2 linked regions of the Macaca mulatta genome follow. The protein of the gene in region 1 purifies or fractionates together with the protein of each later gene. This does not show direct contact. Links are inferred from orthologs where the notes say so. Each region holds a gene or a part of one and is shown in the gene's direction. Other genes may lie near its edges.

Region 1 (7,315 bases):
GAGGCCTTTAGCTTTTGGCCCAGAGACACTGGCCATAGAAATGATGACGATAGTAAATGAAGTTACTTGGCAATTAATTGTCTTATTCTCAAAACTATTATGTAAACTGCAATAGTTGCTATTGAACAGGTCAGGGTTTAGTGGGTGGATAACCCCTCGGGTACTTTTGTACAGTGCGTGATGACACATGCCAAGTATGAACCAGGGAAATATGATTTTCTGTGCTCTATTTTATTTTTATTGGTAAAATAAATTCCTTTGTCAGGGATAGGCAGAAGCCAATAGGAAATTTCAAGAGATGGGTAAATTATTAAAAGCTTCTTAAGTTATTTTTAGATCAAATAGCTTTCTTAAATTTTTTCTTAGAAATATTAAGATTTCTGTAGTGGTGATTGGGGCAAAATGGTGTATTATGAAGGATACGGTTTCTGGAGTCAGAAGCTTTACCACTTATTAATAACATGTAAACAAATTTTGGCAAGTCAGCCCTTCCGAACCTGTTTCCTCTCCTGGCAAATAGAAATAATAATAATGCAGACCCTACCCATTGCACAACACAGGATAGGATGAAAATGCTTTATAAGCTATATACGTTTTAAATTGCTTTTATAAAATTGAGTTGCCTTACCTGTTTTGAAATGGTCCCTTGTAATTTTATAAGAATCTAAGAATCTTAAACTCCTGGCAAGCTGTGAAGAATCTCTTTATTGGAACTACGAATTTCTAAAAGTTTGTATTAATATATTGCCCAGCATGTATGAAAACGAGGTTGTGGTAAAATAATTAGAGCATCACTGAGCAGTGTCTGGGCTATACTGTTAAACTTAATCCTAAAAGTGATCAAAATTTAACAGTTGCTAGAAGGAAACTTTCTTTTCACTAGATATCCTTTTGGACTGTGTATTATAGACATGTATTGCCTATTCAAACTATGTCTTTGGAGGAGCTCAAAGATATAACCATGGGTTGCTAAGACATGTCCTGATAGCAGCAGGATGAAACTGAGCTATGTAACTTGGATAGAATTTCCCTGGAAAGCTAGGCTAGTGGCTTGACTGGAATTGTAAAACTTCTGGGGAGACAGGTGAGGTCACCCCTTTGCAAGAACATTAATAACACCATCATATCTCCACTTTCAGTGGGAAAGGGGAACCTGTGACTGAACTCAGCTGGCACTCCTGTCGGCAGCTCCTTTACCAGGCAGTGGCCACAATCCTGGCCCACGCAGGCTTTGACTGTGCTAATGAAAGTGTCCTGGAGACCCTAACTGATGTGGCACATGAGTATTGCCTTAAGTTTACCAAGTTGTTGCGTTTTGCTGTGGACCGGGAGGCCCGGCTGGGACAGACTCCTTTTCCAGATGTGATGGAGCAGGTATTCCATGAAGTGGGTATCGGCAGTGTGCTCTCCCTCCAGAAGTTCTGGCAGCACCGCATCAAGGACTATCACAGTTACATGCTACAGGTGAGGCGACCCTGTTGAAAAGTGGGCACAGATGTCTGTGCAATCTAGGAGTGTTCAGCAGGATCCCACAGCACTTGGTCTAGAGTGCAGAGCACAGAGTCTTGGAACCGAGTGAACTTAACATACTTTTATGATGGCCCTAGCGATGTTCCTGGCCAAATGGGTCTCCTTTAGTCAATGAATGGCCACATTCACAGATACTTCCTCTGGAAGAAACTATCCACAAGTATATGGAATCTGAGAGAATGCAGGTAGTCTGACTTTATTCATCAAGTATTTATTGAGTGCCTGTTGAGAGTCAAGCATTGTGGGATTCAGCAGTTACTAAGTTACCTGAGCGTACATTGTTTTTGAAGGGAAACAAACACAAGTCAACAAAAAATGATCAAAACAATTTCAGGAGCTGGGCATGATGGCACATACCTGTAATCCCAGCTACTTGGGAAGCTGAGGTGGGAGGATTGCTTGAGGCCAGGAGTTCAAGACCAGCCTGGACAATATAGTGAGACCCCCATCTCTATAGAAAATTTAAAAATAAAAATTAGCTGGACATGGTGGCTCATGCCTGTGGTCTCAGCTACGCGGGAGTGTGAGGTGAGATCACTTGAGACCAGGAAGTTAAGGCTGCTGCGAGCCATGATTGTGCCATTGCACTCCAACCTGGGTGACAGAGCAAGACCCTGTCTGAAAAAAAAAAAAAAGAAAACATAGATCTCCTACTGGCAATCCTCCCGCCTCAGCCTCCCAAGCAGCTAATATAATGGTTTGACTAGAATTGTAATATATATCTCTAATATAGCTGCTTGGGAGGCTGAGGTGGGAGGATTGTTTGAGGCCAGAAGTTTAAGGCCAGCCTGGGCAATATAGCAAGACTTAGCTGTCTCTAAGCACATACTTACAAAAATACAATTTTGTATAATGTTAAGTGCCATGAAAAAAAGTAAAATGATATTGCCTGGAGGATGGGTTGGTGAGGGGTGATTTTGGTTGGAACCAGCTAACCTCTTCAGCCCTTGTGCTCTTAAGTCATTTGTTCACTATTTCAGTCTCTGCAGGTCTAAAATATTTAACACCCAAGAAAAGTCTTTGCTAAGTGATCCAGATTTCCCACACCATTGATTATTCACCTAGGATACATATGTCAATTTGTTTTTCCTCTTTTTAGACAGGGTTGCCTGGGCTGGAGTGCAGTGGCACAATCACAGCTCACTACAGCCTTAACCTGCTAGGCTCAAGTGATCGTTCCACCTCAGCCTCCCAAGTAGCTAAGACCACAGATGTGAACCACCATGCCCAGCTCTTTTTTTTTTTTTTGTAGAGATAGGATCTCACTAGATGTTGCCCAAGCTGGTCTCAGACTCCTAGGCTCAAGTGGTCCTCCCGCCTTGGCCTCCCAAAGTACCGGGATGACAGGTGTGAATGACTGTGCCCAGCCTCCTGTTAATTTTTATAGCCAAAAAAAAATGTAATCTTTTGTCCCAGTTCTGTTTTAACACTTTTTACCTTTATGTTACTTTTTTTTTTTTTTGAGACGGAGTTTCGCTCTTGTCACCCAGGCTGGAGTGCAGTGGCGCAATCTTGGCTCACCGCAACCTCCGCCTCCTGGGTTCAAGCGATTCTCCTGCCTCAGCCTCTCAAGTAGCTGGGATTACAGGCATGTGCCACCATACCCGGCTAGTTTTGTATTTTTAGTAGAGATGGGGTTTCTCCATATTGGTCAGGCTGGTCTTGAAATCCCGACCTCAGGTGATCCACCCGCCTCATCCTCCCAAAGTGCTGGGATTACAGGTGTGAGCATCACGCCCGGCTACCTTTATGTTACTTTTAATTAATGACATACACATTCTCTGCCAAACCAATTTTCTTTACATATCTCTATCACTCATAAATGCAAACTCAACACCTTAAACAAATCCCTACCATTGGCAGTGAATGTTTTAAAATTCTGTTATTCGTGTTCTGTTGGCTTCTCCATGGGATGTCACAAGCTGACTATACAACTTGCTTTTAACATTTCCTTGGAAAATTGACTCTTGCTTGCCAACAGATTAGTAAGCAACTCTCTGAAGAATATGAAAGGATTGTCAATCCTGAGAAGGCCACAGAGGACATGAAACCTGTGAAGATCAAGGAGGAACCTGTGAGCGACATCACCTTTCCTGTCAGTGAGGAGCTGGAGGCTGACCTTGCTTCTGGAGACCAGTCACTGCCTATGGGAGTGCTTGGGGCTCAGAGTGAACGCTTCCCATCTAACCTGGAGGTTGAAGCTTCACCACAGGCTTCAAGTAAGACAAATAAACTTGCTCATTTTGATTCTGGGAGATCTGCCAGTTTCAGTACTTTTCACTTTTTGGAATCAAGCTCAAGAAGTAGAAGAACAAAAGCAGCAGTGGACACAATGGAAAGTCCTAAAATGAATACAGTTTCACCTATCTAGAGATCTCAGCATTCTTCTCTTTCTAATTAGTGAAGAGAGGATTAGCAGCTTTACAGGCATTCTTTAAAATAATCCCTAGTTAAGATGTAGATGCAATATGTGTTGTCCTGTTGATTACCAAGGCTGATTCAGCTGATCCAGCTGGTTGGGAAGCTATCCCCTTCCTCCTTCAGTATTTTTTTTTTAGTATTCTGTATTGGTCCTTCCTGATGCTTGTACTTCATTGAATAAGACAGCTGCCAGATAGATGGGAGAGTGGTAATTGCTCAAGGATGTTCTCAGAGTTTTGCTTCCCTGCTAAAGTACTCTTAACAAATGGAAGATGAAAGACACTGAAATAGGGCGTCCGGCCAGGTGTGGTCGCTTATGCCTGTAATCCCAGCACTTTGGGAGGCCGAGGCAGGCGGATCATGAGGTCAGGAGATCAAGACCATCCTGGCTAACATGGTGAAACCCCGTCTCTACTAAAAATACAAAAAATTTGCCAGGCATGATGGTGGGCACCTGTAGTCCCAGCTACTCGGGAGGCTGAGGCAGGAGAATGGCGTGAACCCCGGAGGCTGAGCTTGCAATGAGCCGAGATCGTGCCACTGCACTCCAGCCTGGGCGACAGAGCAAGACTCTGTCTCAAAACAAAAAAAAAGGCTTCCCAGTTAGAGGTATCTGGCTTCTTTTTCCAGGCTCTGTGATTACCTTAGGAGCCAGGACAACTAACTGGTTATGTGTCAGTTAGGTTGCCAATTAGCCTGGGCACTCAGTTATTTACACATATAAATTGTCATTTCATCAATGCACAAATGACTCAAATAGCAAATCCTCAAATGCGGTCTAAATGGAATTAGGTCGTACTTTTAAAAGTGTTGGGCAGACAGCCTTTCACTATGGAAGAATAACCGTAAGAGAGCAGCATTGCTAGAACACATAGAGAGATGGGAGAGCCAAAGAGAAATTGTTACGGACTTCGGGACCATGTCTCTTCAAAGGACACCAGGTAGAGAACTGTTGTTAGCATTATGTAGTGACCATTACCTTTTCATAATGTGAGAGATGACCAGAGACCCAAACAAAAGGCAGGAAAACAAGATGGCCCCATAAAAGAAGGAAGGACAGGCAAACTAAAGAGCTGAACAAGGCCTGTGGTTGTGCATGTCTTTGGGCTGTGAGACGGGGGATCTTTCCACCTGCCTAGCTTCACTTCCCTGGTTTAGGGAAAATGGGAGTGGGTGAGGTAGAGGAAAGAAAGGTAGAAGAAATGGAAAAGAAGATAATCAGAGCTGGTAATTTTTTGTGATGGTTAACTTTTTGAAGCAGAGAATAACAACCATATTCTCCTGACAAGTACAGAATCAGAGTGAAAACTGAGCTCAAAGAATATTAGTTGGTCCTGAGTGATATATTTACTCTACTTTGTTCTACACTTGGCTTACCACAAGGTGTATGTCCACCTTTCCTCTCTTTCTAGGTGCAGAGGTAAATGCTTCTCCTCTTTGGAATCTGGCCCATGTGAAAATGGAGCCTCAAGAGAGTGAAGAAGGCAATGTCTCTGGGCATGGTGTGCTGGGCAGCGATGTCTTCGAGGAGCCCATGTCAGGCATGAGTGAAGCTGGGATTCCTCAGAGCCCTGATGACTCAGATAGCAGCTATGGTTCCCACTCCACTGACAGCCTCATGGGGTCCTCCCCTGTTTTCAACCAGCGCTGCAAGAAGAGGATGAGGAAAATATAAAAGGAAAAGAGGGAGATTTTTTGTCCAGACCTACTAGACCCAACAGAAAACGTTTTTGTATTAGAATCTGTTTCCATAAAAATTGATTTGACTCCTGTTCTTAAACACAAGTGGTTTTTCCTTATTCCAGAGGACCTGGACATCACCAAACAAGGTTGCATTTTACTTTTGCATCCAGTTTTTATAGTTTTCCACAACCAAGCCACCTTTCACAGATGAAATATGATGCTGGCATGGCAATCAAAGCAAAGCACCGTCCTCGACTGTTGTCTTAACTATGACTAGACATGTTACTTAGCTTCTCTACAGCCATTTCTCTTGTACAACTGAGAATCATACTTCTTTGACCTACCTTACAGGGATGTGAGGATTTAGGTGTTTGCTAACTTCAAAACTGTGCTTGAATAGACTCATAATATATGCTCATATCAGATGTCAGTTTTCATTTAACTTGATTCATTTTTGGCTCAGGTCGTTGGGAATCCATTACTAATACCTAACAGGAAATAGCGAAACACAACATACCTTATCTGTTAGTCACCTTCTTAAAACTGTTTTTGCTGCTTTTGAAGTGTCTTATTTATAAGATCAGAGGTCTACAGTGACAGCCTTTTGCTTATTCAGACAGCTCTCTCCTATCATCCACATATTCTTCTCTAGATTTATTCCATCTATCCTCATCCTTTTGGCCTTTGTTATTTCTGCTCAGACTCACATATTTTCACCATATACATATTTTCAGTTGTTTCTTTCCTTTTCTCCTTTGTGAGCAAAGCAAACAAGTACTGTCCAAGGACAACCTTGTGCATATTTCATTTGTTGCATTTGCTTGGTCATCAGAGGACAGCAGTCCATTAAGCACACTTTGCTTCTGCTACTGTAAAGGCAGCCTTTAAAGCATAGTAATATGCACCTTTCAACTTTATATCATTGTCCTGAACAATGTAACTGTGGTTACTCATCCATCAGACTATCTGTACATTTAAGTACCGAATCAGTATTTATTAAGTAAATGTTGTAGCACTGTAGTGATTAGGAATAATTAGCAAATGTGTTGCTTCATGCCTTGGTAATGGATGCCAACATGTAAAACTGCTGAAGTTTGGTTTTCTGATGCAGAATACATCTTGTAAAATTTAGACCACTCCTTTAATATAGACCAAAATAAGGCACAGCTTTAATTCATTATTGAATGCCTTAAATGTCCCAGGTATTGAGAATGAATATGATAGAACTAAAATGAGGTTATAGTTTAACATATAATTTATACATTTGCCAGTTGTAACTCTTTAGCACATTTATCTAAACCCTTTCTGTCACAGTCTTTTTTAAAAATTTATTTATTTTTGAGATGGAGTCTTGCTCTATCACCCAGGCTGGAGTGCAATGGTGCAGTCTTGGCTCACTGCAGCCTCTGCCTTCCGGGTTCAAGCTACTCTCCTGCCTCAGCCTCCTGAGTAGCTGGGATTACACACACGTGCCACCACACCCAGCTAATTTTTGTATTTTTAGTAGAAATGGGGTTCCACCATGTTGGCCAGGCTGGTCTCAAACTCCTGACCTCAAGTGATCTGCCCGCCTCAGGCTCCCAGAGTGCTAGGATTCCAGGCGTGAGCCACTGCGCCTGGCCTCTGTTGCAGTCTTACCTTCATTTTCCTTTGTTTATAATGAAAGTGGCCATTAGGCAGT
Region 2 (8,050 bases), on another chromosome or scaffold:
CTCCATACACCCCAATCAGTAACAAAAACCTGCTTTTGGCCAAGCCCAGTGGCTCATGCCGGTAATCCCAGCATTTGGGAGGCTGAGGCAGGTGGCTTTCCTAAGGTCAGAAGTTCGAGACCAGCCTGGCCAACATGGTGAAACCCTGTCTCTACTAAAAATATAAAACAAAAATTAGCTGAGCAAGGTGGCATGTGCCCGTAATCCCAGCTATTAGGGAGGCTGAGGCATGAGAATCGCTTGAACCCGGGAGGCAGAAGTTGCAGTGTGCTGAGATCACACCACTGCACTCCAGCCTGAGTGACAGAGCAAAACGCTAAAAAACAAAACAAAACAAAAAAACCTACTGCTTCTAAGTTATTCTCCAGACCACACTCCAGCATGATCTACTAAATATATAAGTCTGGTGAATGATTCCCCTTGAGGATTCCTCATGGCTTACAGGCGAAACTTTCAACACCTACTTGCTTTGTCCTGTATGATCCAGCCTGCTCACCTCCAGCTATTCTGCCACCCAATCCTCTGTTTCAGCTTGATCCAGGCTTCTGAAGCTTCCGGTTGGGGATATCCAATGCTTTCTTGGCCTACCTTTACCTGGTTCATCTCCCACTACAAGAAGTTTTTCTTTTTCTTCTTTTTTGTTTTGTTTTGAGACAGCATCTCGCTCTGTCGCCCAGGCTGGAGTGCAGTGGTGCAATCTCAGCTCACTGCAACCTCCGCCTCCCAGGTTCAAGCGATTCTCCTGCCTCAGCCTCCTGAGTAGCTGGGATTACAGGAGCATGCCACCACACTCAGCTAATTTTTGCATTTTTGCAGGCTGGTCTTGAGCTCCTGGCCTCCCAAAGTGCTGGAATTACAGGCCTGGGCCACCCCGCCCAACCCAAGAAGCCTTTCTTGACCAACTCTCTTACATTATTTGATGTCTCCTTCTGGCTACCTCTGTTCTCTCTCTGCTGTTTTCGTCACACTCTTTTGCAATTATTATCCTACCTGTCTATCCCACAAGACAGTGAACTTCTTGAAGAAGCACAACTGTCTTATATCATCTTTTGTCCCAGCACCTGGAGCACCGTAAGAATAACAGCTAAGATTTACCAAGCACTTACACAGAGCTAAGAGTTTCACATGCACTGACTTGTTAATCACTACAGCAACGCAATGAGATAGGACTATCATTATGCCCACTGACAACAGAGGAAACTGAGGCAGAGGAAACTCATTTGCTAGATCCAACGATTTAAATTCAAATCAGACGCCTGATCTTAACTACTCTGGAATATCGCCTCAATAAATGTTTGCTGTTTCTCAGGAGAAATCGGTGAGAATAAAATATTTGCGGAAAACTAAAAACCAAAGATGGCTCCAAGTATGTGATTTCAGACTATCCTCCTTTTTAATCTTATCTCTTGAGGGGAGAGGGCTGTCACACAACCGTTCCAGGACACCAGACACAGAGTAACCGAGATGAAAGCGCCAATCCAGCCATCCACCGCGGCTGGGAAAAGGCCCGCTCCTTCCTAAAGAGGGACTGAGAGCGTGAGCATAGGGACACTCTGCACCCAGGAGAAAAGCACTGGGTCGGGGGAAGGATCTGGCCAGTGCCAGGCAGGCTGTCTTGAGGGGTGGGGGGTCCAGCGTGGGTTCCGGAAGCAGGAAAGGCAAGCAGGTGTGGGATCTAAATTAGGATGAGGGGTGGGGAGGGCGCTCCGCGCAGAAGGGCGCAGCTTGGCCTCCGACCTCAGCAGCGGACCCTCATCTCGGCCGCTTGTTGGTCCGCAGGCCTGGCGTGGGCTGAGACCCGCCCAGAAACCAGGAGAACTGAGGCGCGGGCGAGCCCCTTCGATTCTACGGGCTTTCCGCTCCGAGGTCCTAACTGCGCCCCACTTCAAGTCTGGCCTCTTCACAGAAGTGGCTGCACGCCTCGGGGTAAAGGGGGGAGCGGAGGGGGGGGAGAGAGCGGGGAGCCCCGAGGGAAGGGCGGGGAAGCCTGGGCCGGAAGGCGTCCCAGGATCGGCTAGGAGCCGGCGCTCTCTTTCGACGCCACCCGCTGCCCCCGCCCCCGAGCCGGCCGGGACGGCACAATGTCTCCGCCCCCAGCGCACCGCGCACCTCACCTTGAACGCCGCCCCACCCACCCCCATCTTATTGGGCCTCCCGGGCCGAGGCCTCTCGGCGATTGGTCGGGGAGGTCCGCGAAGGCCCCGCCCATCTCCCCGCCCCCGTCCCCGTCCGCCGGTACTTTGGACGGCGGCGTGGCGCCCCTCCTCCCCTCCCGGTCCCCGCCCCCTGGAGCAAATGCTGCCGAGCTGCGGCCGCGGGGCAGATGCACGCGCTCGGGCCCTTCTAGCAGGCGCGAGCAGTCGCTGGGCGCGCGAAAGCGAAAGAAGGAAGAGGAAGGGAGGGGGAGGGCGGGGTGTTGGGGAGGGGCGGGAGGAGGAAGAGGAGGAGGTTGGAGCGCGCTCGCGCTTGGCCTCGCGCCCGCGCGGAGGGAGGGGGAGAGGGGCGCGCGCGCGCACGTTCGCGTTCTCGCTCGCTCCATCCATCCATCCTCCGGTCGCGGCACACGCGCGCGCGCTCCGGGCTCGCGCCGCACCCCCCGCCCGGGAGAGGCGGGCTGGAGTGGGGGGCGGGGGGAGGGGCGCGCGGACGGCGCGCGGACTGCGCGCGGGCGGGGTGAGGTGAGGAGGAGGAGGCGGCGACGGGACAAGAAGGGAGGGGAAGGGGCCATGGCCGCCCGGTGAGGCGGCGAGGCGGGGGGGCGGCCCGACCCCCCGGCCCCGGGCCCTGGGCCCCGGGGAGAGGCGAGGACGGACCGACGGACATGGGGCTCCGGAGCAGCCGCCGCCGCCGCCGCCGCCGGAGGACGCGGCCCTGAGAGGCCGCCGGGCCCCGGCGCGGCCCCCCGGGCGGGGTGAGTACGGGACGGAGACGGGGACGGGGGAGGGGCCTGCGGGGGGCGGGGGGCGGGGCCCGAGGCGGGGCTTGGGCCCCCTCCCCCCAGGTCTGGGTCAGCGCCCCTTCCCCTCCCCCCGGGCCGACGCGGAAACGCCCGGCTTCCCCCAGCTTCCCGGCCGGGCCGGGGCCCCCAGCTCTCCCCCGTCTGGGTCCCCCTTGGGCGGGGCAGGGCCGGCCGGGGAGGGGGCGCGGGGCCTTTGTTAGGGAGCCAGGCCCCAGCCCCCGGGACAATAGAGACACCCTCCCGGACTCCTCTCCCCGGCCGGCCGGGGCTGCTGGCGGGCGGGGAAGGAGAGGGGCCGGGACGCGTCCCACTCTGTCCACTCTCTGGGGGTCGGTCTGTCCCGGCCCGGTGCCGGCCCCGGCGGCTCGGCTCTCCTCCCCCCAGTCGGTATGATGCAGCAGCAGTGCCGCAGGGACGGGGGAAGAGCCGAGGCCCGGCCTCCTACCCTTCCCAGTGCCCCCGGCTCATTCGTCAGTCCCCACCCCACTCTAGGCCGGCGGCTCCTGAAACTCGTACCCACCGTTCCGAGGGGCCCTGGGCTGTGGGTGCTGTGTCTGAATCCTTGGGTGGGGGTTCCTGGACTTTGGGGCTCTTGGAGAGACTTCCGGGCTGGTCCTGAGGGAGGGTGGGTGGTTATTTAAAGGAAGAACAGGTAAGGGGAGTGCCCGCTCCTGGCGTGCCACCCCACCGGGCACCCCCCCCCCGCCCCGCCGCTCCTGCTCATGGTGGCTGGAAATGTCCCTTAGCTCTAGGCTCCTGTGAGCTCTGCTTCCCTCGTGGAGTGGCAGGCTGATTTCAAGGGAAGGCAGAGTGGGGTGAAGGTTGTAGGGTCCTAGGGCCATTTCTACTTCTGGTAGCAGTACCCCCCCAAGTGGACATCCTGGCTGAAAGCAGAGGTGACTCTGAGGAGAGTCTTTAGGGAAGGCGGGGGGGTGTATTTAGGAGTCTGTGCAGTTCTTTGCCACACCCTGTGGGTTTGCTTTGAGGCCTTGGAGTTCCTTCTCCTCCCCCTGCTGCATTGCACCATGGGTATCAAAGAGGGGTTTGAGTTTTGGGGACCTAGGGTGAGCTGCTGCCTCCTATAGACCCAGACTCTGATTGGCAGTGGAGTCCAGGGCCTGAGCTCAGGCCTGGGAAAGACTAGGCCCCCTTTAGGTTTCAGGCCCTGAAGGACCATCCAGACTTAGTGAGCCTGGGCCTTGGGGAGGGAGAGACCCTGATGCCAGGACTGAGCTCTGGGCAGCGAGGTGGGAGGGAAGGTGGCCGCCTTCAGAGGTGCCTTGGACTCACAACAACACCCCCACCCCCGTGTGTGCAGCCGTGTTGCCGCCCGCTGTGCTATGAGCAGTCAGAGCGCCGTCTCCACAAGAGTTTACAAATGAAAATGGAGGAAATGTCTTTGTCTGGCCTGGATAACAGCAAACTAGAGGTGAGGGCTCCCCCACGTGTGCCTCCAGTTCTTTCTCTTGATGTCTCTACGTCGCTATATCTGGCATCCACACCAAAGAGGAATTTGGGTAGTCAGCCTTGTTCCTTAAAGGGAATAGCCAGCTGAAAAGGCCAAGGATCCAGGAAGAAGAAAGAACACGAAGTCAAGATGGGGAAAATGGCAAAGAAAGCGTGATTTTTGGCTGGGGCCAGATGGCAGCAGATTTGGTTGGTGAGAGTCCAGGGGGCTGTGACTCTTGTGACCGTAGATGTTCTCCCCTGGGGCCCAGGCCATCGCTCAGGAGATATATGCGGACCTGGTCGAGGATTCTTGTTTGGGATTCTGCTTTGAGGTACACCGGGCTGTCAAGTGTGGCTACTTCTTCCTGGACGACACGGACCCTGATAGCATGAAGGATTTTGGTGAGCTTCAGGGTGAAGGAGCAGCAGTCCAGCCCTTTCCTGGGACTGTTTGGAGTTTCCTTCTCTGGAAACTGTGCTAGATGTAGCATCTGGAGCTCCTGTGAGCCGGGGGAGGGATTGAAGAGGCCGTGGGACCCCAGGTGGGAACAAGAGGAGAGGGTCCCCTGCCCACCCTGATCGCCAGCCTCTCCTGTCCCCAGAGATCGTGGACCAGCCGGGGTTGGACATCTTTGGACAGGTTTTCAACCAGTGGAAGAGCAAGGAGTGTGTTTGCCCCAATTGCAGTCGCAGCATTGCCGCCTCCCGCTTTGCTCCCCATCTGGAGAAGTGCCTGGGAATGGGTCGGAACAGCAGCCGAATCGCCAACCGCCGGTGAGAGAACCAGAGATGCCCATTCTCTGCAGCCTGTGCCATGGTGTAGTACCCCGGGGGCATTAGGAGGGTACCGAGAGTGGGTTTTACTTGGCCCCAGATACCCCACGTGCCTCTGAAGTTGGGGGCAGAGTGGGGTGACCCCCTTGACCCTTTCTCTTCCCTCCCTTTGGCAGGATTGCCAATAGCAACAATATGAATAAGTCTGAGAGTGACCAAGAGGATAATGATGACATCAATGACAACGATTGGTCTTATGGCTCGGAAAAGAAAGGTGCTTGGGGATCTGGGGAAACTTGGGGAGCATTGGGATGAGGTGGGAAGCAGAAATTGGGTATAAAGTGGTCACAGGTTGTTGTCTTTTTTTTTTTTTTTTTTTTTGAGACGGAGTCTTGCTCTGTCGCCCAGGCTGGAGTGCAGTGGCGCAATCTCGGCTCACTGCAGGCTCCGCCTCCCGGGTTCACGCCATTCTCCTGCCTCAGCCTCCCGAGTAGCTGGGACTACAGGCGCCCGCCACTGCGCCTGGCTAAGGTTGTTGTCTTGAATGATGAAGAGAGAGTATAGTTGTGCGGTTTCCTTTTTCTTTTTTTTTTTTGAGACGGAATCTTGCTCTGTTGCCCAGGATGGGGTGCATTGGCGCAATCTTGGCTCACTGCAACCTCCGTCTCCTGGGTTCAAGTGATTCCCCTGTCTCAGCCTCCTGAGTAGCCAGGATTACAGGTGTGCGCTACCACGGCGAGCTAATTTTTTTGTTTTTAGTAGAGATGGGGTTACACCATATTGGCCAGGATGGTCTTAATCTCCTGACTTCATGATCCGCCCGCCCGGGCCTCCCAAAGTGCTGGGATTATAGGCGTGAGCCACTGCGCCCAGCCTATTGTACAGTTTTCTTGAGATGCTTTTAGATTGAGAACTTAACGGAAACCCTGCTCTTTATGCTTTTGTTCCCCCTTAGCCAAGAAGAGGAAATCAGACAAGGTGAGAGCCGGGGCAAGCATTGGGGAATTAATGGGCAAAGGACAGATACCCTCCCCTTTGGGCAGGGAGTCCTCAAGTGTCTTGACTCAAGGCTGAGGTCACTGGGGGCTTGAGGGTGTCTGTGGTGGGCGGGTGGGGTGTGGGAATGGAGGGCAGGGGAGGGCACATGGGTAGACAGGCCTCCTACTGGGGAGGAAGAGTAGGAATTTGAGGATGCTGCTTTGTCAAATCTTTTTTCCTTCCCTGGGTTCTCGGCTCCCCCTTATCGTTACCCTTTCCCCAAAGCTATGGTATCTCCCATTCCAGAACCCCAATTCCCCTCGAAGATCCAAGTCTTTAAAACACAAAAATGGTAAGTGGGGCCGGAGCAATGGGATTGCTTCTAGCTACGTCTTCTGGGACTCATTGCCGGGGGGTGGAGGTGGGGCCCGGGGATAGGGGAATTGAGGGAGGGCCTGTGATCCTTCTGTCACCCCCACTTCCTCTCTGGTTATTTTCAGGGTTCTCTGTCTGTACCTCTGCATCAAACACCCTTCCCCTTCTTTTTTCTTCTTCAGGGGAACTTAGCAATTCGGATCCTTTTAAGGTGAGTATGGGCCGTCCCTCGCACTTGCTCTCATTGTCCTGGTTGTGAGGTGGTAGGGATTTGGACAAGTAGGGATCAGAATGCTGACAGCCAGAGGCACTGATGAGCTATTTGGATCTTATATATTTATGTTCTTTCTGAGTCCCGCCCCTTATCCATAGGCAGGTGGGATGAGAGAAATCACTTGGAAAACGGCAGGGTTGTCCTAAAGCCTCTCGCTTAGAAAGGCACCAGAGGGACTGATTCTCGCTTCCCCCCGGCCCCTGTCTCTTCTCTGCCCCATCTCTAACCTGTACCTCTGGTTCTCCTGCAGTATAACAATTCAACTGGGATCAGCTATGAGACCCTGGGGCCAGAGGAGCTTCGCAGCCTGCTCACCACGGTGAGGGGGACCGGCAAGGGAGAAGGCCCTTGGGAGTGGGCTGGAGCCATAGGCAGTGGTCAAGGCCGGGGAGGAAGCTGGTGACATAGCAGTCAGGGCCATATTGTTCTCTCTTTCTGGAATTAGGTTTCCTGGCCCATAGTGTCCTGGGACTGTCTGCTCTGGACACCTTGGGGCCATCTCTGCTTGTGCTTTCTAGCATTTATGCAGAAGGGAACATCTAGCATCTAGAGTAGGTTCCCTCCATCCCTCCTTTCAGCTTATATTCCTCTTCCAGCAATGTGGGGTGATTTCTGAACACACCAAGAAGATGTGCACAAGGTGAGCACAGAACCTAGAAAGGGGGCCAGGGGCCTCCTGCACACTCACCATGGGCATGGGTCGGACTTGAGCAATGGGGCTTCTGCCCTTCCCCTTCCCTCCTCTAATGATCAGGCCTTCGGCCACAGTCTGGGGACGAATCTGCACTCTTCCCTTCCCTGTCTGTGCCTGTGGCTCCTGCCTTGCCGAGAGGAGGGGCTTTACCTGAGTTCCTCAGACCCCTCCCTGCCTTGCCTCACCACCAGGTCCCTACGCTGCCCACAGCACACAGATGAGCAGAGGCGAACCGTGCGGATTTATTTTCTCGGGCCCTCGGCGTAAGTGGCCCTACAGGAGGGATGGGGGGTTATGACCAGTTAGGGCGATGATCGCTATCTGTAAAGCCCTTCTTTGGCTCATCCCCTTTCTAGCGTCCTTCCAGAGGTCGAGAGCTCCCTGGATAATGACAGCTTTGACATGACTGACAGCCAGGCCCTGATCAGCCGGCTTCAGTGGGATGGCTCCTCTGACCTCTCACCCTCTGATTCAGGCTCCTCCAAGACGAGTGAAAATCAGGGATGGGGTCTAGGTACGTGATACAGTTGGGCCCCAGGGGCTGTGC

Evidence for each region.
Region 2: the proteins of SUPT7L (region 1) and ATXN7L3 purify together in Homo sapiens (affinity purification with mass spectrometry; 6 studies listed by BioGRID and IntAct, counting the BioPlex papers as one, with this or other methods). This does not show direct contact. The link is inferred for Macaca mulatta from reciprocal best matches to the Homo sapiens genes SUPT7L and ATXN7L3.

Annotation. Positions count from the first base shown.
Region 1 is NC_133418.1:97,338,539-97,345,853, forward strand, and holds the end of SUPT7L (STAGA complex 65 subunit gamma), read left to right. Parts: intron 1-1,139; coding exon 1,140-1,464; intron 1,465-3,511; coding exon 3,512-3,749; intron 3,750-5,363; coding exon 5,364-5,626; 3' UTR 5,627-6,618; downstream 6,619-7,315.
Region 2 is NC_133421.1:68,567,370-68,575,419, reverse strand, and holds the start of ATXN7L3 (ataxin-7-like protein 3), read left to right. Parts: upstream 1-3,669; 5' UTR 3,670-3,984; coding exon of another isoform or gene 3,985-4,023; 5' UTR 4,024-4,178; coding exon 4,179-4,388; intron 4,389-4,656; coding exon 4,657-4,810; intron 4,811-5,010; coding exon 5,011-5,182; intron 5,183-5,358; coding exon 5,359-5,456; intron 5,457-6,137; coding exon 6,138-6,160; intron 6,161-6,445; coding exon 6,446-6,512; coding exon of another isoform or gene 6,513-6,550; intron 6,551-6,660; coding exon 6,661-6,746; intron 6,747-7,059; coding exon 7,060-7,128; intron 7,129-7,405; coding exon 7,406-7,449; intron 7,450-7,694; coding exon 7,695-7,766; intron 7,767-7,859; coding exon 7,860-8,017; intron 8,018-8,050. UniProt on the Homo sapiens protein: Component of the transcription regulatory histone acetylation (HAT) complex SAGA, a multiprotein complex that activates transcription by remodeling chromatin and mediating histone acetylation and deubiquitination.